Linked DNA regions of Astyanax mexicanus. The protein of the gene in region 1 interacts with the protein of each later gene in a pairwise test. Links are inferred from orthologs where the notes say so. Each region holds a gene or a part of one and is shown on either strand. Other genes may lie near its edges. The genes, in order: hpcal4 and fam131c.

Region 1 (15,818 bases):
AATGACTAGGCAAATCTCAATACCGTTGTCCACAAAGTGTACTTCAAGTTTAAATCTTACATAAATAAGAGATTGGTTTAAGTGAACATTATCTGTCGCAGGCTTAAACGATTTTAGTCTTAATTTCATTAGTCTGTTCTAAACGACCTTCCTTCACAACCCCTAACCAGGCTCATTTTCTAAAGCAACCTTTTTATCATGGCCTGCACGAAATGGTAAACCGTGACCCCAGCCGAGGGGTCAGAGGCAGACATTTGTCCTAATTTGATTAAATGGCCTCTGATATAAGAAGGAAATAAAATGTTCAGTTCTTCAAAAGGTCAGAATATGAAGGGATGCAAATCTGTGGCGAGCTGCCAGTCAGTCTTTTCTATTCTTTTTTTTTTTTGGCTCGTCTGATCCGACACAGTCGCTAAAACTCACACCTCTCTCATTGATCCAGACCGAGCGTTCCTGTTTCCTGCTCAAGTGTGTACGCAGTCCCACAACCGCTTAATTATTACCACACATAATTAGTCGGCAGAACAGATTCCCCCTCTCTAGACGCTAATTAACTTGTTTTCTCTATAATGGAGGGCTGTGCAGTGGGAGCTGCAGAGAAGGGGTGGGGGATGGAGGGTGGTGGTGGTGGGGGGTGAAGAGGTGCCCTTTGAAACGGACGGAAAGGTCGTTTACACTGTAGAAGAGCGCCTCCTTGTTATGGTATGTTATGAATTCAGACAGTGTGCATGAATGCATGTGAAACATAAGGCTTTCCTGAGGCTGCGGCTCTCTCTCTGTGGGATTGGGGAGGCGTAGGCTGATGGGAAGGGCCCAGTAAAAGAAGACTGCTTACATTACAGTCCCATATATAAAACCACTCTGAGCACTGAGATACAATTACTCCATCAATTCATGGCATAAGCTGATGTTTTTTTTGCCACCATACATTTTACACCATAAAAAAGGCTCTGATTACAGAAAGTACTTCACATTAACTAAATTGAGTTAATTAGCTCACATTTTGGTCAACAAAAAACACTTAAAGCTAAGTCGAGTTAAGAACAAGTATTCCCATCTGCAGGTTAGGACCCCTCCTTATTCCCAAGCACATTCTCAAATGCTTAAACAGGGACACAGAACTTAGAACCCCCTGTGTCTTAACCAGTGTGTAGTTAAACTGTTGCTCTTCACATACACAATACTGTATGTCCAAACATGCAATGGCTTCTATGTTAGGTTGCAACCATTGCTGATGCAGATGTGTAAATGTACACCCAACCTGTCTTGTCCCTGTAGAGAAGTAATGTAAAAAAAACACACACACACAATCTGGACGCATACATTTTAACCTACAGACTGTAATAAGCATTTAACAAATTAAGGGTAAATTATTAGAAAATTAATTAGGAAAACAGATTAAATCATTCTAAAAACATGTAAGCAAATTTAGCTTTGAGACATTACTAATTTTGAGTCTGAATTCAAAATGTATTGTTGACGACACTGAGAGGCATAACCATAGTGGTGTAAAAAAGTGTAACGGGGGTCACGTCAGTGCAAAGAATTATGACCCAAAGTTCTGGGGATCTTTAAGATGTTTTTTTGGCAAATGTGAGATGGGCCGTTGTGTTCTTTTTGGTCAGCAGTGTTTTTTGCCTTGGAACTCTCCCATGGATTCCATTTTCTCCAAGTCTCTTTCTTACTATTAAATCATTAACACTGTTCTTAACTGAGGCAAGTGAGAGTTATTTAAATGTTGTTCTAGGTTCTTTTGTGACCTCCTGGATGAGTTGTCCATGCCCTTTTGGAATATTTTTGGTCGGCCGGCCACTCCTGAGAAGGTTCGTCAGTGTTCCGTGGTTTGTGAATGATAGCTTTCACTGTGATCTGCTAGAGTCTCAAAGAAATGACTCCTTTTCAAGTGACTGACAGATGATCAATGACTTTGTTTTCTCATCTATTTTTGAATTTTATTTGTTTCACGTTGTCAGACAGGTTTTTTCCTTAATAAATGAAATCATCATTTAAAAAGTGCACTTTAAATGTAATCAGGTTATATGTGTCTGGAAGGAAGGCTCAAAATGAAGCATAACACTGCATGTTTCTGTATAACTATGATGATATTTTGACAAGTATGCTTCAAAAGTGACATATTTATTCGAGTAGCAGTTCTTAAGATTTTTCTTTTAAATTAAAAGTAGCAGTGTTCCTACTGAGTGGGGAGATGGCAAACATTTTTTTAAGAAATGGCATCAATATCCTTCTGCTTCCATTCCTGAAAAGTCACATATATTGTTTAAAAAACAGGGAAGGCCATAGGGCCATTTTTGGTAACAACAGCTTTTTCTGTTTACCTGAGTTACCTGGTACTGCCAAGGATGCAGCTAGAAGAGCTGTTGAAAACACAGAGATATCAGAACAGCAAACAATGTCTTCATCTTCTTATTCATACCCTGAATGGCCAAAGTAAAGTATGATTAGAACTGATGAGAACTGGTGAAAGAGAGTGTAAAGTATTATTTGATTTTCATTGTTCTCATATCTATAGCATGCAATCAGTTACCTTGTAGACTGTATTTTGACATTTTTCCTCTGGTTCAAAAGTAGAGCTGGTACAAGAATCAAAATTATTTTATGTACATTTGTTCCTGAGCCTTATGAAACAGCCCCTAATAACACTTTTTCCTATATAATTGGAGGTCCTTTTTTGAGCAAAGCTTCCAATATCAGTTAGCATAAGTTTTTACCCTTTTTACATTTTTTCTGCATGTTCTTTTAATGTCATTGTGTTTAGCTACAGAATAATTTAGATTTTTTTAAATTTAGAGTGAGCAATAATAAAAATTAAGACTGTTACATAACAGTTTGGGTGTTTTGGAATTGGTGTGTTTTACAGCTTTGTTTTACTTATGCGGGTTTTCTTTTTAAAGGAGGACACAAGATTATTTGAGGTTCATGGTATTTAATTATTTCAATATAAATACATTTTCTTTCATTCCAGGGCACCTTTATGTCAGTCAAGAAAAATGAAAACGTAACATTCTGTAGTACACAAGAAAGACAGAGAGCCCTAGAGAGAGAGAGACTTGAGCATGTGGCAGCTTTCTAATTCTTATCAGCCCCTGGTGTTCTACATGTCCAGCAGGAGGGGAGGACAAAACACCCCCCTACACACAATTGATTGTGACAATAACCCACAGTGAGGCACAACTGTCAGCCTGTGTTTCTGAAAAAGCAGACGCTCAACAGACCCCAGACTGAGACATTACTGACCACCCGTGACGCACCACTTTAGAACTTCCTAGGTGCGCTTAAATCGCCTGACTCACCTCCGCTGTCTGAAGAAGGACGAGAGCATGCAGAGACATGTGGACATAACATGTGTGCTGATGTGTCCGTTAACCCCTTCCAGCTTCTTTCATCACTGCAGAATCAGACCATGCACCAATTACACGCTTCCAGATGATAAGTGATTGGCAGGGTTACTAAGTGGACGGTCCAGCAGAGCTGTGACGCACAATCTGTAGAGTGAGATATCATGTGAGAACACTTATGTCAACTGCCATTAAAATGATTGGCCATCTTCAGAAGATTTCAGATACATTAGCATGTTTCCTCTGATGCACAGCTTGCTAAGTAGTGATCGCGGTATAATCTCATTAATGACACACTTTAGTTTTCAACCAGAGTATAGAGGTAACATGAAAATATAAAGTATAAAAATATATATACATTTCAGTTTGTTAGATATTAGAAGACCAATAGACATGGTTTGGGTTTTAAATCCATATAGTTTATCTATGACAATAGATAAAACAAATAGACAATTCCAACTTTTATGTAATAATAACGTAATAATGTAATATGCAACAATGTAACCAAAGAACATAGTGCTAACTGTAGATTTCCAGTATCAAATGTTACTTTTCTAAAATGGAAGGGTTTTATTTAAAAAGCAATGTCCAATTTTGCTCCATTGAATTTAGAGCTGCAACTAACAATTATTTTGATAATCAATTAATCAGTTGATATTTTTTCTGATTAATCAATTATTAATTGAATAAAAAGGGAAAAAGGCAAGGTTTTATTTGCAGTATTTTATTTAATAAACCAAACTGTTTTTGTACTAATGTTTAATTGAATAAGGAACACAAAACCTACCATTATTAAAACTAATGGTGTTTAAATGAATAATTAACCTGAGATTTACATTAATTGTATTATTATCATTATCTAATAACACAACAACAGTGTATGTAATGTAAATTTACACTAGATTGTGTTTCTTAAACACTTCCACGCGACACCAGAGTCAGAAAATATCTTTAAAAAGGATGTAACTGTTGCCACTTATGTGTATTTATGTGTGTAATAACTTATATTCTTCTTATGTGTAGAATAACATAGACCCAACCAATTGATTATGGAATTAGTTGTCAACTATTTTAATAATAGATTTTAATCAATTAGTTGTTGCAGCTTAATTGTGTTGTATATATTTTAAATACTACATAAAAAATGTGTACCAGTATAGACCAGACAAATTGTCCAATTCCTGCTTGTTTAAAATATATACCTTTTAAAATCAGATTAAAAACATATACCAGTACGAATCAGCTTTGCATGAAACCAGTAAAAAACAAGATATGCCCAAATATCACAGTTAAAATGTTTCTGTTTTAAAATCTGCTTACAAACATACAAGAGAAGACAAGTTTATCTACAGTATACTTGTCTATTCTGGTCTTGCTTTAAATGGAAGTATACCAGTCAATAGCAATGAAAGCTGATATGCTGGTCATAAATAAGACCATTATACTGTTGCTGTTACACAAAAAAAAATATTTTTCTACTTTTTTGTCAGCCATTTTGGCTAAACCAGCACAGACCAGCATGAACTGTCATAAACAAGCTCAGAGCAGCTTAAACCAACATGGAACAAATGTTGGTGTAAACTGTGCTGTTGTTGTTTTAGCAGGGTGTGTATGTGTGTATTTACAGAAAGGATCTTGGAGATTTCGATTCTTGGAGTTAACGAACATTGTAGTTCCAGTGCTTAAGAGACTACATTTCAGCACTAAACATCTCTCTAATAAAAATGTCTAATGATGGCTGATGGGTTGTATTTGGGTGGAAAATGGTGTAATAAATGTGTTAATACTTTATTTTAAATGAACTTTTCTTTTAAGTGTCTTTTAAGTGTATATCTGGTAACACTATAATCCACTAATGGATTTCTTGCTCCTGGGAGAGTGGTCTCTACTTCCTCTCATCTTTTAGAATCCAGCATCCACACAGCTCACTGCTGCTATTTTTATAACAGGTTGTGGGTGTGTGGCCAAACCAGTTTCCATGCAAATAACTTAAATTATAAAACATCCAGATAAAGCTACTTTTCTGACTGGCTACCTGCTGTCTGCAGCTGCTAACCAATGGGAGGCCTGTTCCACTGGGATTTCACACTGAATGAGGATCAAGACTGAAAATTATTACATCTGATCCTAATGTTTCTTTTTGAGAACTGATGAAAACCTGAACACTGGGTGTTTCCATCTCTTACAAACAACAACAACAACAAGAAGAAAACAGCAATAAGACAGGTTTTAGCAATTACCAACCACTCTTGTCCTTTGTTATTGAGATCAGAGTATCTCAATTTAACCAGTATATCTGGTTGGCAAGTGAGTGCCACAAAAATCAAAAGAAAAACAACATTGTCACAAAAACAAATTTACTTTACACATGAAATATATATATATTTATATATTTATATATATATATTTTAGCTCGGATGTCAGAATATTCAAGTAAGAACTGTTAACTTTCAATTTCTATGTATTCCTGTGCCAATAAATCAGTCATACAACGATAACCTGACATAAAACGTGGAATATATTGTATTAATGTGCCACATTCACACTTTAAATGATTAACAAACCAGTTGTGGTAAACTCCAAAACCTTTTACGAACTGTTTTTTTAATGAAGTGTTTTTGAAATTATCTGAATCTTTAACTGAAATGCCTCAGCTCAAATAAATAGAAAGCAGCATATGTACATTAAAACAAGACATTTTGTTTTAATGTACATATTTTGTCAGATTGGCTGCGACCTGTGAAAGGCATTTCAACAATAGCGGTGCTCTTTATTTTGAAAAAAAAAAAAAAAAATACTGTGGCATAAAAAGGGCAGTAGTCATACAAAGCCAAAAAATCATGTTTTTTTGTGCTTTATGGAGCAAACTGTTCATATTTTATCAATGTTTTTTTTAAACACAGTGTTCAAATTGTAAACAGACCTTCGGTTTAGAGTATTTGGTCCTCTTGATTTAAACAAGTCAGTGTATGAGTGGATATAGATGGCAAAGATGGCCGCCTAATGAACTGACTTGCATTGGTGTACATTTTTTAATTCTCCTGGCTATTTGGATAAGTATGACCTAACAAGTGTAAAAACAAAACATTGTCTTTGTACAGGAAGTCGTTTTTGCAAAAACAATCTGCTCATGTGGGGACAGTAGTTGATTTTATTTTATTTAAAATGTATGCTTATCATTTTGGATCAGAAAATCCCAGTTAGTCCAAAAACAAAATGTTAGCTTTCTACAGAAAGTAAATATTTTTTTTAAGCATAAAATTGGATGAGAATTTTTACCTGGACCATTTTCTTTCCTGCCTGGCTGTAGGAATTTGGACTGGGATTCCCACCATTTTGTTTTCAATCAATTTAGAGTAATGTTGTCATGTGACTACAGTGTCTCTATATGAGGCCAAAGCATCAATGTTTTAAAAAATGAAGTATCATGGTGCAGAGAAGCAAAAATGTAATGTAGCCATATGAGAATGCAGTGTCTCAAGAGGTTAAAGTAGTAGAGGTGATTGGAAAACATTTATATATTTACTCAATCAAAAAATGACAGTGCAGTCAAATTGTTTAATGCACACAAACATAATCATCATTAAAAAAAACAAATGAAAACATTTTTACAGTGCCAGTAAAAAACACAAATTGATAGTAGCTTAACTAAAAAAACTGTCAAAAAAGTAAGCAGTAAAGCAATGCCTTAGATATTATTTAATGCTAATAACGAATGAAAAACCAATTGGAACTGCTTCTATTTTTTTTAATTCTTTTTTGTTTGCCATTCCCTGTAGAAGAACAACACAGTGTTTCCAGTTCCATAAGGAGCAAAACAACAAAACTAATTAAGTAAGAGACATTATAAAACGTGAAACATAAAAGTGTTTAATTAGCATAATTGAATCTAATCGTGTCAGTTACCTTCATTATAATGAGCGCACATCAAAAGTGTCATCTGGTTTCCGCAGAATGATTTTTATCTCTTTAAAAATTAACAAACCTGTCTTTAGCATTATTTATTTTTATTTTTCATTTCCCACCTCTAATAGCTTCAAGCCCCGCCCTCATCCTTTTTTCCCATTGGCTAAGGCTTTGATTCCTTCTGGATGAACAGCCAATCACAGCGCAGAGGGCGTGGCCTGTGTGTGAACGGGTGGGTACGGGATATCAACACGGTGAGGGAGATGCGGGCGCTCCATTCACTCTCGCTGTGACTGAGGAGGAGGAATCAGCAGCAGGTCCAGGGCTTTTCTCCGGGAAACAGCCCGCTGGTCTTCAGCCGCTGAGAGGATAACACACTTGTGTGAATCACACACTCAAAACACACACACACAACACACACACATACATCAAAGACCGGCTACCTCACCAGAAAGAAATACTTGGGTGAGTCATCCCTGCTTCTACTTTCCGCTGTCCTAGTTTTTTTTCCTTATTTCTTCCATTGTTTAATGTGTGTTTACTGTGTGATGCTATTATGCTGTAGTGTAGCCAGTAAATATACATATAATCATATAAATATACAGCTATTAAAATGAGCTAATCTAGAGAAAGAGTGAACTATGAGCTCCTGTTATAAAACCAGCCTTATTATATTATCTCCTTTATAATATCTTTTTTTTCTCCAGTTTATTATCAGCTGCTTTTTCTATGGTGTAAAAGAAACCAATGCACATATAATGCAGCTCTGTCAGCAAATGAGATTATGAGATTCTGCAGATAGATTGTAATTGAGTTTATAGCAGCTATGAGTTTATATAGAGCCTATGTATAGCCAAGACATGCATGCCATACGAATTAGACATAAGAGCACTGTCACAGAGTGAGTCTTGTGCCAGTTTGGGTATAGCTAGTTTGCCTTGCTATACTGAGGAATTATACATAATGTGATAAAGCCTTAAGAGTGAGGTGAAAGTCTGTCTGCAGCCACTTTGATATGTGATGCTCATGTTGCTGCCTGACTGGTTGGCAGTGGATGTGCGTCAGTGTTGTGTCTGCATTGCTCTGTGTTTATGTTCAGCTACAGTACTTCTGCATGTGTGTTGTGCGCTTCATGAGGACCCCCAGTCCTTATGATGACAGGAAAACAAGACAGTATGATGGGTTCTCACAAGCCATCATGCTGTTTTTACCACATATGTGACTAAATGCAAGTGGAAAGTGGAAGTAGAATTAAATGGTTTCAAAGATGTAGTTACATCAGTGTGTGTGTGTGTATATGTGTGTGTACATGTTTTTGCACACGTTGTATGGAAGACTATTATTTTCTGACCACCCTGTCTTAGGTGATAAAAGTGAAAAAGTGTGCTGCACAGTGTGTGTGTGTGTGTGTGTGTGTAGCAGTGATTGACTGCACCTGTCATTAGTACAAGGCTATGAGTGGCTGTACACTCAAGAAAGAGTGAAATCGCAAAGGTTTTTCTCCACTTCCTTAAAGAATACCTAAGGGCTTTGTCCCATGAAGAGTTTTGTGTAAAAAGAAAGCAGTAAAGGTGAACATTTACAGTTAAAACACTCCTGAAAAAGAACTAATGGAAACACAAAGTACAGCATATTGGGCTTGGCGTAGCAAGTGTCCGAAATTAAATCTGGTGCTAAAAAGATGATGTGCTAGAAGTGCTGGAAGACAGTAAGAGCTTAGGAAAAAATATATAAAACTCTGTAAAATACTATTTTAGGATTCAGCAATGTAAAGTAACACTTTAGCCCTATCCGGACTGGATTAGTTTCTCATGGGGATGTCTGTGTAAAATATTTCACACTTCTACTCAGTGATAAAACTCTTGCATCTGGACTGTAATTGAAAAAAAAGGACTGTGGATCAGGATCAGTGACTTTTTAGGCTTTCTCGGTCATATGAAATCGCGTTCAGTAGCTCCTCCATTTCCACTCACTGTTGTGTTTACACAGATCTTTGTGGAAATGCGTGCTCAAAGTGTAATTACGCTGTGTGGCAGTGGATAAATAGCTATTGTATTAAACACGAGGAGACAAAACTCAGAGATGTGAGTCTGGAAGGGACTAAAATTACCGGAGGACCATGGAGTTCAGCGACAATTCAGGCTGTAATTTTCTCAGAGCTAAAGAGAAAATTACCCCAGGACCCCCTGAAAAACTGTAATGTTTAAAGTTGCCTTGCGGAACTAAATTCTAAAGACATACATATATACAGATCAAATACACTAAATTTCTACATTGCAATGATGAAGAAAATCAACATTTTGAGGAAAATAATAGTCTGATTGGGTGAAAAGTGAAAATGCTGTATTTTATTTTGAGCTGTTTACAGTGAGTATGCATGTTTACTCCAGAACATAATGATGTCATTTTGGAAGCCTAAAGCCAATGTACAGCAAGATTATAAATTGACAATTTGACAGCACGCCAACTATGGCATTGTAGTTTGTTTGATATCAAATTTGTTAAAGTCTAAGATGAAAAAAAGAAAGGAATCTATAACCAGTGCACTGACATTTTATTGTCTACATAATTACCATAAATAGATATAAAACCAATTGAAAAAAAAAAGTCTGACTTTAATCTAAAAATCCATTTGAATTATTCAAACCAAAAATAAAATAATACACAAATCTGTTCATTATAATGATCAATGTATGTTCTGCATCGTATACTGCACTGTTTATCATCAGTGGTGAAGATGAGGAAAGTAGATTTCAAACCAAATTTCTTTCTGAATTTATTTTATATTTTTCCAAGAGTTCTCTGGTATTGCCCTGGATAGAACTGTCACTACTGTTAAAAGTCACAAATCCATTTTTCAGTACTAATGAGAACCATTTTGCTTACAGAGAAGCCAAATTCCAACCACTTGCTAGGTGTTCCTCATCATACATATATTATACATATATATGATGCTTCTAAGCTAGGAGGATGGAGGCTAGTTCTTCTCCTCACATTAAGCTGAACATGCTTGGAGGAGAATACTTAATACCAATTCTGTTACAATAGGTAACAGATGAACACACTAAGATTCCACCAAGTGTAAAGCTAGTTTTGTTGTGTTGTTTACACAACCATGGATGGCTATCCTATTAACAAAGCTCCAGTCTCCTAATGATAATGCCACTGCTCATGGCATTTTTCCACTGCATGGTGCCTACACTACTCTGCTTTTTATACCTGGTTAATTGTCCACTTTCATAACTTAACTTTAGAATGTAGCTGGGGGCGTTGCAGCTCTTGCAGGATTCTTTTGTTAGCGACCAATCCAAGGAATGTTTATACTGCTTCAAAAGACCAGGATGTAATTTCACAAGCTGCTTACGTGAACACTGTTGATGCTTGGAGATATCACAAATGGGTAGTTTGCGCTAGGTGTCTGCATAGATGTTGTACAGTGTTTACAGTGAGAATTATTTCTGGCCAATCAGTGCTCTGCAGAGTTTACATGTCCAGTTTTAGTCCCAGTTCAACTTCATTGTAATCAGAAATGAGGTACCAGGTAGCATATTTGCTAAATGTAAAAGCAAAGAACTGAGTAGTGAAGGTACCATGCAATGAAAAGTGCCATTAAATGGTTGCAACACCACCCAGAAGCAACTGTATGTATTTTTTTAAACTAAAAGCACAAAGAGTTGCATTTCCAGAGTGGCTGACCATACCCTGCTGGAATGTGCAGTGGAGTACATGCCTGAGTGTATTCCCACACTGGTTAAAGTAGGTCTAAGCACTGTTTCTGCTGACTAGAAGCAGGAGATGGGTGATAAGCACCAGCTGTATACATTGAATCTCACCCACGCACAGAAAAAAACTCATTCTGGCAGCTCGTGGGCATCGCCAGTCCTCCATTTTGTCCCAGAAAACGGCGTCCAGGCAGCGCCAGGTGTTGTAGCCCTCTCATGCGGAGCCAACTGATTGATTACCCACATGCTCCGTTTCTCATGTAGATGGATGGCAGATTCAACATGGCTGCACTCAAAAAGCTGCAGACAGTCAGTGGCTCTTCAGCAGCACTAATCAAACAGCCCGGGGGGAATTTGATGGATGAAAAACAACAAAGGCATTTGTGAATTGAAGAACAAATGAGGGCCCATTTTTCCCCCGCTCCTCTGATAGCAGCCTGTTGATATTCTCTTCTACTCATCTAATAGGAACCACAGGCTTTTTTTTTTTCACCCTCTCGCTTTGCTCTACTGCCTGTTTTGAATGTGAATGAGAGGCGAGAGCTCTGTCACAATGGGCAAGATGCTGTCAAATACATTTAGCAGCTGGAGTCATCGCACGCTGCCCTGGGCTGTGTTTGGACATCAGAGGTAAATTGTTCATGTGCTTGCCTAACATGTTACAGTACACAGATCTGACGAAGCCTGACACAAAGGATGACATAACTATTGCAGAGGAATAGGACTCATCGTTGGCATGGCTGCTCTCGCTGTGTCTCAGCACACAACGTACCAGGTGGTATTTCCACTGTGGCAGTGGGTGGCTTTTGACTGCCCTTCTATTTACAGTGTATTGATCTTGACAGAATCTGATCTGGTGTTGAAAGGGTCACACAGAGATCATTTCACATCATTTCATATCTACACACATGAGGTGTCCATTTTCAGTATATATACTGTATATAATTATGAGCCATGCTAAGGAGGTACTGTATTTTATGTGATTTACTGATTGAATCCACAGTTTGAGTCCAGTAAGAATCTCCAGTTTGTCTGAGAGTCATACTTCCAGAGGGAATTGCTTTCTGTAACTGGCTAAATCCAGCACTCTTCTAATAGACCCAGCTGGGTGCTGCGTTGTTTTTGTAATTGAGTGTGGCGTCCATAGCGTATCACTGATGAGGACCTGACTGCTGTCACTTGGAAACAATATGTGTAGGCCACAATTTGTTTTAAGTTTTATAAGACATACAGATGTAGCTAAACTTTTGATGTGATTGAAATGTGTTGTACATTGTACACAATTTGCAGATACTCCAAAACTGCAGTCATGGAACATGGGGTTGGTGGGTTCCAGGTGGGCGCAGTCACTAAATGGGTTTGTACATGTTTTTTTCTTTCCGTTTTTCCATTATTACCTTAATCTCACGTGGGTCCCATCAAGGATCTAGGCCTAATGTGCAGTGTAAAGTTTTGGTCACTGAAGACTGAAGACAATAGAAGAAAAATAGTTAAGATTAAATTTTTCTGTTGTCTTAGGCTTTTTGTCATATTTTTCTGTCTAGATCTCAAATAGCACATTATTCATTATATACTAAACTACATAAGGCATTGTGTAATTTTTGTTTAAACCTGTCATACATGCTACTGCAAGCATTTTCATATCTGTGGATGGAAATATTATCAAAACGAACAGAAGGAAATTGGATTAAAAACATTGAGAGTTGTAGTCTTTAGTCAAAGTATAAGGAATATAAGGAAACTTGATTCTAATGTAGCACAGTGGTAATGTAATATGCTGGCCTGCATATTAGATGTTTACTTAGTCCTAATTGCATTTCTTAAGGCCCTGAGTCTGAACTCCTTGCTTAAGGTCTTCTTAGGCATCAGGTGCAGTGCACCTGTTGACTTGGATGTAGAGAAATCTCTGTTTTGCTAACCAATGTTTATCTGTATTGTTTGGAAGTAGACTCTTGTGGATATTAGTTTTGCATTCTAGAAGGTTTTGTAGAATTAATCATAAAAGTCATATCTGTTAATATTACAGTTTGTGTTCTATTGCTCTTAAACATTTTTTTTATATTAAATGCAAATGGATATTGCAAATATTTATAATTATTCAAACATCTATAATATACCTTTGTTATGCTGATCATGAACTGTCAAGTCTTATCTTTTTTTATTTTTTTAAGCTATATATCATATGCATTATCTGTTAGGACCATAGAACCAATTACAGTTTTGCTCATTACTGTCAGCCTCAGAGGCACATGTAGATGATCCAGTGCCAGTTGTCACCCATGGGGACTAAGTTGTTGTGATGCAAGGTTTCCTACACTATATTTATTTTTGCCAGGATAGCCCCATGAGCTGGTGGAGTTGGCACTGTTGTTTTTATCATGTACCTTTGAGATGCAAGGAAGATAACACAGTTATTTAGTTAGAAATTTAGATGAAACGGAAAGATACTAACGCTACTAAAGATCAACAGCAGTAATGCCCTATAAATGCAGCACACTTATCTGTATCAGCTGATAATTTTGTTAAACTGTAACTAATCTATATTTCATATAAAAGCATAGGACAGTTCCTGAGAACTTGACTGTTTCTGAAGAAGTGTGTAGGTCACAACTGAAGGCTGTTGTTCTTGGGCTTAAGAGTAAAGAACCCAGATCCTGTAGTTGCTCTGTGGGAACTGTTCCTGTAGATATTTATGAATTAAGGATGATGTGGACAAAAGTATTGCTTTTGTTAGAGTAACTAAGTGGAAAGTCTTTTTACTAGATTTTAGATGGAGCGCCATTATTTCAGAGAACACAGTTCCACTACTCTACAGCTTAATGCTGGGGGGCTTTAAACCCCTTGAGCCCATGCCTGGCATTAAGTATAGTACGAATATGCTTTATGATTATCCTCTCCAGGGGGTGCTATAATATTGGCAGTACTTCTTTACTGGCAGTAGACAAGCTGTATGTGTGTATTTGCACATTTTTGTCAGCATTGGGTGAAACTTAAAGTAGCTTAATGGATGTATTATGAAGGGTGTCCAGAGACATTTGGACATATAGTGAACATATCATCAGATATTTAAACTGATTAAGAATTGACAGAGCCATAGTATGTGAAACTTAACAAACTATGAACATTAAACCATGTTGTTTTCTCCTTCAAAAAAAAACAGGACTGTAGAATGGGAAAACCCAAATCCATTTTTTTACACAAATTTTTGCCATTTTCTCCCCAGTTTACACTGCCTATTACCCAACCCACTCATTAGGACTCCCCCTATCACTAGTAATTCCCCAACATACCTGGAGGGCGAAGACTAACACATGCTTCAATTTTTTACTCTCTTGACTTAAGTTATTTTCACTCACCCCAAATACAGTTGCAAGAAAATGTATGTGAACCCTTTGGGATTACTCAGACTTCTACATAAATTGGTGATTAAATGTGTTCTTATTATCTTATTATGTTTGCATTGTTTTTTTGAACACAACATGTTAAAATTCACAGTGCAGGGTAGATAAAGATAGATAGATAGATAGATAGATAGATAGATAGATAGATAGATAGATAGATAGATAGATAGATAGATAGATAGATACATAGATAGATAGATAGATAGATAGATAGATACATAGATAGATACATAGATACATAGATAGATACTTTATTTATCCCGAAGGAAATTTAGGCATCCAGCAGCAACAACACAATACAATAAGAAACAGATTCAAACATAAATTAAAACAGAAGAATAGAGAAAAAGAAGAAGAAAAGAGAGAGAAAAAAAAATATATATATAAGGCTATACAAAAACGTACTATACAAGGTAAGATACATATCTGTAAACAGAGCAGTGCAGTTGTTGCTGATCTTTAAATAATTAACAGAGCAAAGTGCAGTGTGCAATGACATTGATTATGAAAGTGGCTGATGTGACATAGAAATATAATATAAATATGCAACTGTAACAAATATAGTTCTAATTAAACTATAGCCTAACACACATCAGAGGGGAATGCACTTTTATTTTATCAGTGACTGTAACATTATCTGGGTAGGCCTTAGCAATAATTAAACTATTGTATATTCTGCAAAGGTAACATAATAGGAAAACTGGCGAGTTGCATTCTGAGGGTTGTAAATAGCTTTAAACATCATGTATGAGCAATTTTGCCCAAAAAGTACATACATACTAAGAAAATATTGGGGTGTAAGAAAATATTAATATCAAAGAATTGCAACATTTTGTCTTGAAATAGTGTATAAATTGTTAAAATCACAGTATTGTTTTTTAATGATAAGTAAGTATAAATGTAAAGATTGATGGCAGACAGTGGTTTCATTTTGTGTTTTGTTTAAAACATGACCAGTAGATAGTAGTGCTGTACTCTATCCATCTAATGGCAAAAAATGTATGATTTTTTTAATAAGATGTTATAAATATGATAGTGTTTGCTGAAAATTTAATGTGAACAATCACAATATATTGTCTTGCTTACAATTAAATTGCATCAATGTCTATTATTTAAATTAGTCGACTACAAATTTCATTGTCGACTAATCATTCATAACAGTAACTGTACCACATTACACAAAGTTATGGGGACAGAAGTGCAATGGTAGATGGGTAATGGCTCACTCACACAATTTACAGTTAAGTTAGTCTGTGTCTCCAAAAGTGCCCAAACACAACAGAATACATTTATTCACTAATTATCAGTACTTTTTACGTTTAAACGTCATCTAGACATTTAAACGCCCTTTTTCTCTCATGTTTAGAGATGGCGGACGTGGCAGAAATAATCGTCAAATTATTATCAAATCATTAGTTGCAGCCCTACCTATA
Region 2 (16,128 bases), on another chromosome or scaffold:
TACTGAAACATCTGATCTTATATTACAGTTTTATAGTTGTATTTTAGTCTTTTCTGAAAGTTTCTGGTAAATTCACACGTATTTTCTGCCTTATTTCTTTTGGGAAATGCAAAATATTCCCAATGAGCATTTTACAATAAAATAAGTAAGTTACAGGTGCTCTCTGACACAGTATTAGTATTATATTTTAACACATTTTAATATAACACCCCTTAACCCAAGTAAAATCACTGAAAGGCACAGCCATGCATGTACACTTTATTAAAAAAGGGTTCTTCAAGGGTTCTTTAGTAAAAGTCACAGTTCTAAATAGAAACGTGAGGACGTGTGGAACCATTAAAATGTATAAAATCTTCTTTACCTGGTTAAAGGGTTCTAAATTACAAGGAAAACCTCTTGCATATGGTTTTTATTAAACCTCTTATGGTTTGTGAATTCACACTAAACCACGAAGGTATGAACACCACAGTTCATACAGTCATTGATAGTATTGATAGGGTAAATAATGTGTGCAAACATTTCAAACATGCTAACATTTACACACTATTGGCTTTACCAACCTGAGGGAAAGAGCACAATGCTAGTGTAAACAAACTGTAACTTGTAAAACTGCTGCTAAAATAATAATAAAAAAAAATTACTCTTATGCTTTTAGCAGGTTCGGTTGCTGTTTCCTTTGTAGATAATATAATCTTACTTCTGCATAGCACCAAATGGGATTCCACATCAAAGAACCCATTTCAATATTATGAAAAGTCCTTTTTATGGCTGTATGTTGCTTTTATCCTATTTAAATTATCTTCTGGGGTTTTTTTTATATATATTTTTGCAAGATTTGAAATGCACAACTCACAATGCATTTTTCAGTATCTCAACATCTTTCCAGCTACTTTTTACAGTTTTTTTTATTTGATTTGATTCAAGGTTTCTACATTTGAACAGCTTTTGCTAATTATTTGCTGTAGAAATGAATGTTTTCACACCTTTCAAAGGCAGAGTCAATACAAATGCAAGTACAGCAGCAAACTTTTGGCACCACAGTAACCACCTGGGGTAGCAGTCACTGCCTTGCAACCACTTAGCAATATTTTAGCAAATGCCTTCAACACCACTGCAATCACCTTAACGCAGTGGAATACTCATCAAATCTAACATCCACTTAGAAACCACTCGGGATACCATAGCAACTGACAAGCAACCACCTCATCAACAAACTCATAAAACACTTACCAACAACATTGGAACCATCTGGAATACCATAGCAACAACAATACAGCCATTCTGAGCTTTCTTTAAAAGATATCATATCTGGATTCACCACAGAATCTAGATACCATCTACCTGTTACATTCTATTTGTGCAAGTAAATAAATAAATAAATAAATATAAAATAAAATAAATAATACCATAGCAGCCACATGTAAATGCCATATCAACTATTTAGCAACATAATAGGAACCTCCTAGCAACACCATAGCACCCAGCTAGAAAACCACAGGTACCAGTCACATGTAGCCTGACAATTGCCTGAAATCTACGCAACCATTCTGTGTTTCACATGTTTTAGTGTAGCTTAGTGTCTTGATTATTCACAAAATTCCCTGTGTTCAGTGTAACTAAGCAGTTCTTGTGCTTGGGGCTAAAGAAATTGATGGTGTTACTGTGTAATTGTGCACAACAGTGCTGTACCTGGACGTGGTCCATATGTGTAACTAATAAAACATTCCCACTGATTCACCTCCTCAGCTAATCACAAAGCTTTCAATACCTGTTCTGTCACAGCAGGAATACAGTAAAGTGTGAAGTGCGGAGGTGTAGTGAACATGTCCGGGCTAACTTCTGTATACATTCATACTTTAGGCAACACATTTACTGCACAGCGGATTCAGTATCATTTCCCCATATTACTTCCAGTCATCTACAGAAAAGAGCAGATCTGCTTTATGCTCTAACTGTGTATGATTATTAATTTCAGCAGGCTTACCTGTAAGCTTTGAAGAGCACTCATTTGTAAGAGGAATGTTAATGCTTCTTCACCACGTTGGCTCCTCAAAGAACAGCTGCAAAGGATAGAAAAGTACAAAATTAGACCTGAATAAGGAATGAAGACATTTCCGAGGCTCATCAGACAGAAAATGGTTTTAAAACCATCTCTGAGTTTAGACTCCATCAATCCACAGTCAGACAGATTGTGTACATATTAAATACTATTATAAAGACTATTATAACCCTCTTGACCAACATAACATGTTGAACAATCTTTGTTTTTAGATCATTTGAGAGTTGTTTTGATGAGCCCATGATGCCACTCTTCAGAGGAGATTCAAATAGGAGAACAACTTGCAATTGTCCACCTTAAATACCTTTTCTCATGATTGGATACACCTGGCTATGAAGTTCAAAGCTCAATGAGGTTACCAAACCAATTTTGTGCTTCAGTAAGTCAGTAAAAAGTAGTTAGGAGTATTCAAATCAATAAAATGATAAGGGTGCCCATATTTTGCACCGGTCAAATTGTGGTTTAACGCATATTGCACATTTTCTGTTAGTACAATAAACCTCATTTCAATCGTGAAATATTACTGTGTCCATCAGTTATTAGATATATCAAACTGAAATGGCTGTTGCAAACACCCAAATATTTAGAATTAAAAATTATTAAGATTAATAGGGGTGCCCAAACTTTCTCGCATGACTGTAGATTATGCCAAGAGCAAGGCACTTAATAGACTGCATTTTCACAAAGGAACCCAAGGTAACTTCTAAGCAACTGAAGGCCATTCTTACATTTGCTAATTTAAATGTTCATAAGCCCACCATCAAGAGAACATGGCAGGAATGCAAGAAGAAAGTAGCTGCTTTCCGAAACAGACAATTATAGGATCGTATTGACACACAAAAAGATTATTGTAACAATGGTTTGTCATGTTTTGTGGATGAGACCACAATACATATTTTTTGTGTTTAACTGAGAAGTTTATGTAAAATGGATTCAGTATCACACCCTCTATATTACTTTAAGTCTCAGAAGTAGTACAGAGGATTTTGAGGATATGTATGATTATTAAAAAACGAATAGGATTATTCACTTCAGTGAATTTACCTGTAAGATTTGAAGAGCACTCATTTGTAGGAGGAATGCTGATGCCTCTTCTCCACGTTGGGTCCTTAAAGAACAGCTGCAATAGATAGAAAAGTCCAAAATTAGATCCAAGTAAGGAATGAAGAGATTTTCGAGGCTCATCAGGCAAAAAATTGCCAAAAAAAATATAAAAAATTAGGATCTTATGGACACAGAAGACTATTGTAACAATGATTTAGGGATGAGACCAAACATCTATTTTGTTTAACTGAAAAGTGTTATGCAAAACAGATTCAGTATCATATCCTCTTTATCACTTCAAGTCTTCGAAAGGAAAAAGTAGATCTGCTTTATCCTCTAAATGTGTATGATTATTATTTTAAGTGGGTTTACCTATAAGCTTTGAAGAGCACTCATTTGTAAGAGGAATGTTAATGCTTCTACACCACTTTGGCTTCTCAAAGTATAGCTCTTTGCTGTGGAAAGAAAGGTACAGAATTAGATCAAAATGTGGAATGCGCCACCTGTTAATCATTCTGCATGGATTATTTCTAATATTCTACTGCCCCTACACAGGATATGATTAATCACTATGCTCAGCTATAAGTATACAGTGAAAAGGAAGTTAATGAGTGATCGCTGGGGTGACTTAAAGGTGGTTTTCATTACACAGCCCACCGTCAGCGACACGGGCCTGCAATTAACATGATGAATCACGTCAGCTCGGATTATGTATAAGTGTTCATGCAGACGGTCAATTACAAAACCGTAGCTGTGTATTTACTCTTCTCTGTTCTCTAATTTCCGCTCATCACCCACACTGTCCCATCAGCTTAAACATCAAGTGAGATCAAGTTCTCACATTACCAACCACAATTCAAGCCCTCCATGAAAGCACGCAATCACCCTGCTCCTCTATAGAAGCTACCTGTACTCTATGTAAAATGCTGCATGGTATGAGGGGGCTGTGCTGGTTACCTTTTATGACAGCAGATGTTAAATAAATTTCATGCCGGCTTGTGATTTCACGCATTGCCCAGGGGATTTCTGCTCACAGTGATACGGCCTCTCGGCCCATAAATTCCTGTGGTGTTACTCTATCTGCCGAGGTGGATCACTTTTAATTTCTGTTTTGGTTTCAGCACCTATCACTTCCCTTGTTTCCCAGCAGGATTTTTTTTATTTGCTTTGTTCACTGACATTCTTCTAAATGGAAATACAGCATACCATCTTCACAGATTCGGAAGAATGAAGACAAAAGCTAAAATGCATGGATTCCCGATGCCACAGATAACTTTTCTCAGAAATGATTGTGTAATAATATTGTACGGCACCTCTATGCAAGAAAAAAAAAAACATTACTTGTTGAAAACAAACATTTTCCTGGCACCCTTTTCCAAATTTTTTTTTCAGAAGTAGAAAAAAAAAAGAACCAAACCAAATGACACAAAAATATCCAGTATTACATCTATGAGTGGCAAAAGTGTATAAAACCCTTAGAATTAGAAGCTGATCTGAAGGTGAAATTATGGCTTAACAATGAGGTGTGAGCGGGCAGAGTGTTGTTTTATTTAAAGAACAGGAATGTATTACCATCTAAAAAAAAAAACACTGAAAAAAAAAAATCAAGAAATGTATCTGGTAGCAAAATCCAAAGATAACATGGGCCGTGCAGCAAGACAATGACCCTTAGAACACAAGTAGTTCTACGAAAAAAATGCCAAAAATGTCAAAGTGCTGACCTTAATCCAGTAGAGATGGTGGAAGGACCTGAAGTGACTTACTGTGAGAAAACCCACCAACAGAGCTGAAATTGTCCCTCGCTATCTTTAAGAAACTCCTGAAGACAGAGCTCTCTTCAAAGACCACTTACTTGTGTAACACCTCTAACAAACTAACTACTTCTAACGTCATTTCCTTCTTCACCTCCTTTCCTCCTCTATCCCACTATTTTCCTTTGACCTCCTTTAGGCCCTGTCTAAAAAAAATTTTTTTACCTTAAACTTCTATTACTAAATGTACATCAGTCGCTTTGGACAAAAGCGTCTGCCAAATGTTATATAATGTAATGAAATTGTTTTTATGGAGGAAAATTGGAGGTCTAAAATTTCTCCAAGCTGATGTGCAGAACTACTTAACATTTACCAGAAATGTTTAATTGCAGTTATTGCTGAAAAACAGGTTACCAGTTACTACAGGCAAAGGTTCACATAGTTTTACCACTCAAAGATGTGTAATATAGGATATTTTTCTCAATAAATGACTTGAGTTAAATATTTTGTCCATTTGTTTAATTTGGTTCCCCTTATCTAATTTTAGGACTGAAAATCTTAAAATAGATTATTCAAATGGGTTCACAAATATTTAAGCAGCACTGTGCATTTGAATCATATAAATCACAGATACATAGAGGTAGATGAATGTAGAGCTCAAGGACTCTTATTGGTCCTTTTATTCAGTGTGGTAAGCAGCCGCCCAGCTCAGCCAAAGTATTAATACCTAGTCTGCCACAGGTAAGGCCGTGATGCTACCCACCAAACTACCCCAACCAAATGAAGTGAAATGAAAAGAGTGTGTGGGAATGGGCAGAGAAAGAGAGTGGAAAGAGTCTATTAGTAGTTAAACACAGAATGGAATTTTAGCATGTGCCCACAAAACACACAGACACAGAGTAGAGTAGTGTGTGTATGTGTATTTATGTGTGTATGTGTGTGAGAGAGAGTGTGAAAGAGAAATAGGCCCTATTAAGACATATCCAAACCAAAATGATGGCATTAAGATACTTCTTAAAAATGTTAGAACTGTGCTTGCTTTCTTTCACCACAGAGTGTCAGCTTTCCCTCAAAACACATTACAGCTCCTCTCGCCCTCTCCTACTCACAGTCTGTAGGTTAGCCGAGGCTAGCAGCACTAGCAGCTAAATGACAGGCTGTAACTTTAGCATTAAAGTGAGGCCTAGGTCATTTAGGTCATTTTTCTTTGCTTTGTTGAAGAGTGTATCATAACAAACTGAACCTAAATTAATTATCAATAGGACATCCTCACATAGCTAACATACACATAGCTTTACATATAGCTAGTACACTTTAATTGGTAAGGTTCTACAATACAACTCAAATAATATCACAGTTTTACCTCATAAATTCATAAACATTAACACAAACATTTTAGTTTTTAAATCTTTAAACAAGCCCATGCTCCATGAGAAGAGCCCGTCTTCACAAAGGTGTAGCAACGTAAGGATTTTTCCAATTGCTTACTAATTACTAGTACTAACTAGTTTTTGAGTATGAAGTACGCAGGTTAGAATACATAACATGTAAAAGCTGAGTATACTCAGCACACTGGTTTATTTTTTTTATTTATAACTCGCTCTCCAGCTTTATGCCATCTTATAGTTACCTGATCCATGATTTCTAAGAACAACAGTAATTATCAGACTCACTGATTTTACTGAACTGGGAAAATCTGCTGTTAGCTTCAGAGCACCAGAGATTCACTACAGGAATCTCTAAAACTCAGCTTCCTGCTGTCGCTAAATCATTCATTCATAATTTTAGTTAACTACAAACTACCTTCAGACAGCCTGTAATCTTTTTTATTTGTTTAATTTCTAAATCATCATTTTATTTTACATTTTGACCTATTTGAACTATTTAATTTATTTGTACTCTTCAATATTTATTATAATCTTAGTGTTATTTTAGTTACTTAATATCTTTTGCCTTCTATTTTTATTTATTTGTGCTTTTTTTACTCTTACTCTTTAACTTAACTCGTATTTGACTGCTTTAATATTTAGTCTGTCCATTCTTTTAAATTAAATCTAAGTTGCATGTTTGACTTGTTTTTTGTTTTGCCATTCACTTTTTATTGTTTTGTTCATGAAGTTTAACCTGATTAAAAACTATTTAATTGTACCTTTTTAAATCTTAGTTAGTTTTAGTTACTTCATTTTTTGTCTTCTATTATTTTTTGTGTTTGTTGATTTGTATTATTTTAATTATTTAACGTTAACTCTTAACTTGACTGCTTTAATTTTTAACCTGTTTACTCTTCTTTTATTTTGAATTACTTTAATTCTTCTCAATTAAATCTTAATTGTTTGGTGTGGTTTTTTTTTCAATACTTTTGCCATTTAATTTGTACTATTTTGTTCATAAAGCTCCTTAATTTAGCTAACCACAGTTTAAACTGGGCCATGCTGTTTATATTCAGTAATTTATAGAGCTGACCACGCTAACTAGTTAATGCTCTTGTGGCTGAATACAATTAATCCTCACAGCAATGTTCTCACAACTTGTGTAAAGCTTACCCAGTAGTCTGGAGGGAGTTCTCATTAATATAATTCCAGTACAGAGAAAGAATAGACGCTGTGTTAGATTAACGCTGCTTGAAAAAATTACAAACTACTCAAAGTTTGAATTAGTAAAGAGTCGGTTCGGTAAACTGAATCGAATCCGTGACTCATTAGTTGAGAGGTGCCTGGAGCTGGAGAGCGCGGTTGCTAGGCAACAGGGTGTCGAGGCGCTCGCGCTGTGAAAACAGAGCAGTGTTTGTGTTAGAGATTAAACTGAGTTTTAGGGAAACTCGTCTGACAATACTTTCGATTTGAAGCCTCAAGCTCAGACAAGAGCAGTTTATGAGCGTCTACACACTGAGAACGTGTGAAATAAAGGAATGTTTAGGTTAAAATTAGCCAAATGTGTTTACTGTGTGATGCAGGGGTGATGAGTACTGAGCAAACAATAAGAATAAATGTAAAACAAATACAGTACCAGTCAAATGTATGAGCACAATCTTCTCATTCAATGTTTTATTTATTTAACTCATTCATTTATTTATTATTTTATCAAAAAAAAAGTTGGTCAGGTTTAGGTTCAGCAACAGTATGTGCTGAAAAAATGAGGTCAGCTGACTACCTGAATATACTGAATATAGACCAGGTTATTCCATCAGTGGATTTTTTCTTCCCTGATGACACAAGCATATTCCAAGATGACAATGCCAGAATTCATGGGGCTGGAATTGTGAAAGAGTGGTTCAGGAAGCATGAGATCATCATTTTCACATATGGATTGAGAGTTCACCACAGAGTCCAGATCTTAACCTCATTGAGAATCTTTGGGATGTGCTGGAGGCTTTGTGCGGAGGTCAGACTCTACCATCATCAATGCTGCAAGATCTTGGTAAAAAAAATTAATGCAACACTGGATTGAAGTAAATCTTGTTACATTGCAGAAGCTTATTGAAACAATGCCACAGTGAATGCGTGATGCAATCAAGGCTAAAGATGTTCCAACCAAATATTAAAATGTGTGAGTGTATTATACCTCCTTTTACACAAGTTAGATTAGGTCTATGTGCTATAAAAACATGTTTACTCGAACATAAAGATATCTCACCAGCTCTATTCTTGCCTGTATTTTAGTCCCTTTTAGAATAAGTATTTTAAAGGAAAAACTTGTGTGAAATGGACTTGGGCTGTAGTGAAACATAATAATGAGTACAAACTATTGTCGAATAACCCACCTTTGTTTACCCCCAGGATTCTGAAATACAGCAAACTTACAATGCTTGAGATAGCATAGCAGTACCCATGCAAGATAATCTCCATTATTACACCAATAACAAGTTAAAAAATTCTCCACACTTCATTGGTAGAATTCTGAGAGCCCTGACATTTAAAACGAGGCACTAAGAACTTTGAAAGTGAACAAATATTTAATTAAAAACATTTGACTGATGAGCATGACAAAATAGGTAAGATAGGGGAGCAGACAAAAACTAAAAAAAGTTATTTAAAGTGATAACGTTCCTCTGTATATGTTATGATATGTTTATTGAGACTAAACCTTAAAAAGGTATTGTTAAATGGTATTTATTTAAATTTAAACAATTGTTCTGCAGATACAAAAAACACATTATTTTGATACTGACCTTCAGTGCTGATTACACAATGTTGAAAAACGTATTAAAACATACATTTAAATGAACTAAATTAATTAAAATGAACCCTACAGCACTATGAGAAGTTTGAGCATCCTTAAGAAGGTGTGATTTGTTGTGTTCTCGTGTGTCTGCACCTTGCTAATAGAGCACTAGAGGGAAGCAGAGAGCTGTCAGTTCTTCATTCACTTTTCAAAGTGTTTTTAAGGTAATGATATTTAGATTGTGTCTCTATTAGGATTTGATTTATTCATGTCTTGTTTTATGAAATCATTTGATTATTATTTATCATATTTATTTTGACGTAGACATGATCATTTAATAATTTAATTTGTTGCAATCTTAAGTTGCAGCAAACATCTTACAGCTTACAGTGAAAGATCATCATTATTGTATTATTGTATGAGGGCTCAATGTTCCCCAGTCCTGTTTCATTCACAATAACATCCAAAAGTGCTGCTGCCTTCTGTCTCTTGTTTTTCCTTCCTACTTCACACCATCCATCTTTTACAGTTCACTACATGTGTGAAGAGGTTGTAGTTTTCAGTGAGAGTGAGCAAAGGGTGTGAAGGTTGGGGGGTAGAGGGAGAACGGAGCAGAGAGGGAGAGAGGGAGAGGGGGAGGAGAAAGGAGGAGTGTAAGGGAGGGACATGGAGCAAGCAGGCAATGTGTGCTCATGTTTTCTTTCCCCTCTCTCTCTCTCTCTCTCTTTCTCTCTCTCTGTGTCTCCCTATCTGTCTATCTATCGCCTACACCCCCCTCCACTCTTTCAGCCCCACAGATGGCAGGAAGTGCTTCGCTCTATCTGAGACATCAAGTTCTTTCTTTTCTCCCTGACAAATTCCTGCTTATTTCTCAGCTTTTCTTTATTTTACTGCTTTTTTCCTCCCCCTTTCCAGAAGACCCCCATCTCTGAAGCTCTCTCACTCATCCCTGATCTTCCCCCTCTCATCCTCTCCTCCTTCAGCATGGTGAACAGATAACTACCTGGCTGATGGTCACCATGGGCGCCTGCCTCTGCAAAGGTCACCAAGGTCAGTTCCTATCTCACTGACTTGTCTGTCTGTCTGTCAGTCTTTGTCACTGCTCTGTCTGCTTGTCTTTACACGACTCCTGTGGTCTGATCGTCTAACTGTCTGCCTGTTTAATCGTCTCTAAGTTTGTTATTCTGCTGGCATAGTTGCCTGCCTGAGAATCTATGTAATTATCCTGTCTGCTTCTCTGAGTTTGGACTTTTTTGGTCTCTCTTAAGGGTTAATAACAGAAGGCTATGTCAGAATGCCTGTCTATGTATGTCTGTTTTTATCAGATTGTCACACACAGATGGTTATATTGGCATCCTCATTGATACTGTTTACTAGGGGTGGGAATCGATTACTATCTCACGATTCGATTCGATTCCGATTTTGGGGGCCACGATTCGATTCAAAATCGATTTTTGATTCAAAACGATTTGAATTATAAATATTTCTGCTTCTGGCTTATGAATCGTATTGAAAAAAAACCCTCCATAATATACACTGGTCCTGGAGCAAGTAATGTGTTACAAAAACAATAAAATGTGCAGGAATGTGGGTCCTCAGTGACAGAGGAATCACTGGGATATCACAATGACGTTAATGAACAATAAATACATAAATAAATAACACTGCTTTATTACCAGGCTACTAGCGGTGGTGTGTAGGTGACGCTGCTGGGCTGATGTGATGATAGCATTGGAGCGCTAAAGTTCAGGAGCAGCTGCTGATTAACTAGTTAATTTAAGGTGGTTGTATTTCTTCAGAAAGGGGGCAGGAGGTGGAGAAATTAATTCATATTGTCCATTCCTTAATTCCTCTGTGATGAGGAGCTGAAATTAGCTCTGATTAGCTTATTGTTATTTTTCCGTTCCGCCTTAAATGCTGCAGCCCGCTGCCACCTGTAGCGTTATTTAAGGTGGAACTGGAAAGTTAGCTAGTTAGCTAGCTAACAGTTACTGAAACTAACTACTAGCGATCTTTTTTATGCTTGTTATGAAGCATTCTGCCATAAAACATTGAAACTACACGTTAATCTAAGGTAATATAGTGCTTGTTCTGCCATCTTACCGGCGATTCTCAAACACCTACGCTCTGTGTGGGTCTGGGAGATCTCCGTTTGAAGGGACAAGCGCTATCCCCAGGGTTGCCAGGTCCAACAAAAATACCCAGCCCAAAATCAGTCTAAAACCCGCCCCTCAGAATCGATTTTGGGACATTTTAAATCGATTCTGAATCGTAGTAAATGAGAATCAAGATTCTTATGTGAATCGATTTTTTGGCACACCTCTACTGTTTACACTGTTGACTCAGTGTGGATACTAGAGGTGTTAGAACATATCAGTCTATATATAATCAATAATATCTATCAAAATATTGCAGTTTTTTTTGCATTACTGTATCGATTGGTGTAAAGATGGGTGTTAGACAGTAGTTAATTTAGTGTTGTTTTTAAACCCCGCCCACTAGATTATAGAGTGTAGATAGTGTTGTACTCTGTCATCCCACTGTTCTGATTGGATACAAAGTAAAAACTTTTTTAAACTCTGATTTTTTAAAGATCATGTTTTTTTTTAACTATAAGAGTTTTCCTAACATTTTATATAATCAATAACAATGTTTCACTTTGCTTACAGTATCATAATATATTGTAATATAATGGATCATAACCGCTTAATTGTAATGCAAATCTTATCGCAGAGTTCACGCCAAGTTCATGCCAATACACAACCGGAGGTTCTTCAAGGTTTCTTTTAGTAAATTAGTTTGATATAGACCACTGAGTGCATTTACATGCACGTCAGTAACCTGATCAATGATTTGATTTATTTCTCATTGAACTTGGGAAATCAGATGATGGGAAAACTTTAAATGTAATGGGCGGGGAAATAATCAGATTTTTGCTTTGCAAGCAGCCAATAAACTCACATAATAAGAAGCTGAGCTTAGCAATATGATAATATCTTATTGTATTATGATACATTTGACAAAATATACACATTTCTGAGTATATGGTAATTAATTGATCAGTAGTTGAAAATTGTTCAACTTCTTCAGTTTTAGCGTCGCTCAGAATGTGTTTGTTGCCATCTTGCGGGTGCTGTGGCTGTGGTCTGTTTTCGTGCATGCACAGACTGAGACATCCGAGAGTACACAGGTTAAGAGTCTGCACTGAGAAATTAAATTACTGAGCTAAATTCTAAGAAATGGAAGTAAGCTATACCTATATGACTACTTGAATAATCAAATAACTACAGTAATCCATTTATAATCAGATTATGATCCCTGCTAAAAACAAAATCCAGGTCAAGGACAGCTGGTCATCCAGAAAAAACATACCCTATGCTGGTCAGGAGGTTCTCAACGAGCTAGCCAACTAGCAAAGGGTATGTTTTTTTCAGCAATTGTATAGCAGGGATGTGCTTGTAAATGCATTAAATGACAACTAAAAAAAACATTTAAATTATTAAAATCTTCTTGAAAACCTGCTGAATATAGTTAAATGTGGCTCTATATATATAGCAATAGCAATACAGAGTTTCCATAATATTATATATTATACCAACCGGACAAATACAATCTAGTTAAGGAAAAAAAGCTTCCAGGAAGAACCTTCCAATGTCTGCCTTTGTAAATAGGCAGTTTTGTAAATGAGATGAGTGACCTTTTTAAACTTTAACGAACCTTGACATAATGTGACGTCTGCATCAATTAAAACTTGTTCTGTCGGCCAGACGTCCAAGGCGAGAAGCGTTTAGGAAACCCAAGAGTGTTCTTAATTACGGATTAACAGCAGAGCGGCGGTCCACTGTTTCATTTGTGTCAATCACAACAGGAAGGGGTTGGAGACATGCTGAACTCATTTTCATGTTCATGGAGCCAGATACTGACCAATCCATTATCATGCTGGAAATATCCATTAGAAGATGGGCAAACAGTGGTCATAAAGAGACGCTCAATATTCTATTGCATTAAAGCAATGTTTGATTTGGATTAACAGGCCCAAAATGCTTCAAGTAAACAGTCCCCACACAAACACATCACCTTTATCAGCCTGGACTGTTGACACAAGGCAGGTGGAGTCCATGGATTTAAAATGTTGACACCAAAGTATGATCCTACCACATGTCAGTGTATACGGAAATAAATGGATGTTTATCAGATATACGATATTGGAGATAACATATCAGATATCAGCATTGCCCAACAATTTCCATATCAGAACTCATACGTGTAGAGTACAATTTACACACAGACATGGACAAACTCACAGACAGATAGACAGACAACAACACCTTCTGTGAAAAATGAGGTTGATTTTTTTTGTTTGGAAAAAACATGAGATTTGAAAGATCTAATATTTGAAAGGCAATGTAAACATGTCACCCACATGACGGAAAAAGAAGAGAAGGCTCTGTAAATCCTGTATGGCTATAACTGTCATCATCTGTCTTCTCCTGTCAAAGTTAAATTGCATGGAAAAGCAGAGATGACAGGTTTGCAGGATGGGATCATCATGTTGCTTCATGCTAGTGAGAAGTGTTACAGTGGCTGGCAGTGATAGCGTCTGAATATGCCACCCCAGAGGCAGTTGTTTTAAAGCATTTACTCTCGTTTTGCAGCACTTCAGAGTTTTCTGCGCTTCGACCTCCTGTACTGAAAGACTTGACTGCACTGATTAGTGCAGCCAATTTAACATGCAGAAAGAAAAAGTGACTGGTTTTACATGTTGAACTCCCTCAGCCAGCCTGCACTGTTGAAACCAGACAGCTTGGGTGCAAATTTCATGCTGTTGGCATCAAATTCTGAACCTAATCTAATGTTATCAGACCAGGCTACGTTTTTCTATACTTTAGCTGTCGAAAATTGGTGGGTCTGTGCCCACTGCAGCCTCAGCTTTCTGTTCATTGTTCACTTGATTCAAACTGAGACAGCTACTTTTGTTTGGACTACAAAACCGTCACCTTTAATGCTTCTATTTTGGTCCAAACTAACTAAAAGGTTTGAACCAAAGGTATGTAAAAGCAATGGAAGTGATGTATCTACTAGATTTGATATACATATATGTATGTGTAAAAATTCTCTCCATTTTGGAAAAGCACTTCCAATGTCAGCTTATTTTCTTTGTTAGACCATTCTGAATAAATTCCAAAGATTTTTGCCTGAAAATCTCAGATGATCAGTAATTATAGCAATACTCAAACCAGTCCTTCTGGCGCCAACAATTATGCCACGCTCAATTTCATCCCTGACAACACATCACTGTTGCTTGATGTTAGTGAGAAGTGTTACAGTGGCTGGCAGCGATATATGTTTTAGAGCATTCACTCTCATTTTGCAGCACTTCAGGGTCTTTTGCTCTCCGACCTCTTGTACTGAAAGACTTGACTGTCCTGATTAATGATTAGTGCTGCCAATTTAACATGCAGAAAGAAAAAGTGACTTGTTTTACATGCCTAGAAATCAAGAGTTATCAGACCAGGCTACGTTTTCCTAGATTTTAACTGTCCAAAATTGGTGGGTCTGTGCCCACTGCAGCCTTAGCTGAACGGCTGAAAGGCTCGACTGCCTGATTAATGAGTGCCGCCAATTTAACATGCAGAAGGGAAGGACTTGTTTTGGATGTTTAACTGGTGCAGTATGTTGCGATGGCGGAGCTCCCAGAGGATGAGATATAGGTGAAGTCTCTCCGGGCTTCTGACTTTATTAGAGAGAGTATAGAGAGAGAGAGAGAGAGGAAGAGGAAGAGAAAAAAGAGAAAGCCCTCTGTTCTCATCTCTGTGCATCAGGTGGAGATCCTCTGGAGAGATAAGAAAGGAAGAGAGATCAGAGTAGTAGAGGCTCAGTGTGGGCAATATGATGATTACTGTGATATATTTTGTTACAGTTTCCTTTCATGAGTGAATTGTGGGATTTGTTTCACTAAAACTACAATAGTGAATGTAAACAAGATTCACTATATAGAATAGAATAGAAGAAATAATGAATGAATAATGAATGTCAGCCTTTTACATCATCTTTAATGTTCAATTATATTTAAATTTATATATTTATATATATTTATATAATATATAATTTATTCAGCTCTGGAAAAGAGTGTTTTATTCCGTAAACTATGGACAACATTTCTCCCAAATTCCACATAAAAATATTGTCATTTAGAGCATTTATTTGCAGAAATGAGAAATGGCTTAAATAACAAAAAAGATGCAGAGCTTTCAGACCTCAAATAATGCAAAGAAATCAAGTTCATATTCATGTTCATGATTTCAGAGTTTAGAAAACATCTTGCATGTTTTCCTCCACCAGTCTTACACACTGCTTTTGGATAACTTTATGCTGCTTTACTCCTGGTGCAAATATTCAAAAGCAGTTCAGTTTGGTTTAATGACTTGTGATCATCCATCTTCCTCTTGATTATATTCCAGAGATTTTCAATTTGGTAAAATTAAAGAAACTCATCATTTTTAAGTGGTCTCTTAATTTTTTCCAGAGCTGCATATACATTATATGCATTAATATATCATTCTACTCACACTATGCCTGTTTGCCCATAAACCTTTTAATGTCACCCACCTTGTAGGAACATTAGATAGAATTCAAGCAACACAACCCCTAGCTATGAAGAGGTGGTGAATACAACACTGAATCGATTTTCCCTTTGAGGTCCCCCTTTTATTCCCGGCCATGAACACAAAGCACACCTCTAGGATCTCCTTTATGGAGAGGCTTATCATCTTATCATGTTCCTCTCATACTCCACAAATCGGTGGCTATAGCAGATGTGTCTGTTCCTAGTGCGCATCACACTACCCTGTCTGAAGGGAATGTGTTAGCATTTTACTCTGGTGCTGCCCACTACCAAAATCCTGTTCTTAATACTAAAAAGTTAAACCTATAAATAAAACTGTTGCTGTGAAAATAGTTAAGTGTATTTACACTATGGTAGGTTCTTTGTAATGAGCTCCTTTGAGTTTATCAGTCACCACCTGTGTTAGGTTTCACACTGTAGTTTAGTACGCATTAGTGCGTTGGAGGGTGGGGTAGTAATGTTTATGTTTGTGCTTTTATTGCTGTATA

What was found.
Region 2: the proteins of hpcal4 (region 1) and fam131c interact in binary tests that used the Homo sapiens proteins (3 or more experiments, as listed by UniProt). The two-hybrid records come from large-scale screens. The link is inferred for Astyanax mexicanus from reciprocal best matches to the Homo sapiens genes HPCAL4 and FAM131C.

What each region holds. Positions count from the first base shown.
Region 1 is NC_064410.1:45,220,047-45,235,864, forward strand, and holds the start of hpcal4 (hippocalcin-like protein 4), read left to right. Parts: upstream 1-7,520; 5' UTR 7,521-7,727; intron 7,728-15,818. UniProt on the Homo sapiens protein: May be involved in the calcium-dependent regulation of rhodopsin phosphorylation.
Region 2 is NC_064420.1:38,670,758-38,686,885, reverse strand, and holds the start of fam131c (protein FAM131C), read left to right. Parts: upstream 1-9,705; 5' UTR 9,706-10,025; coding exon 10,026-10,065; intron 10,066-16,128.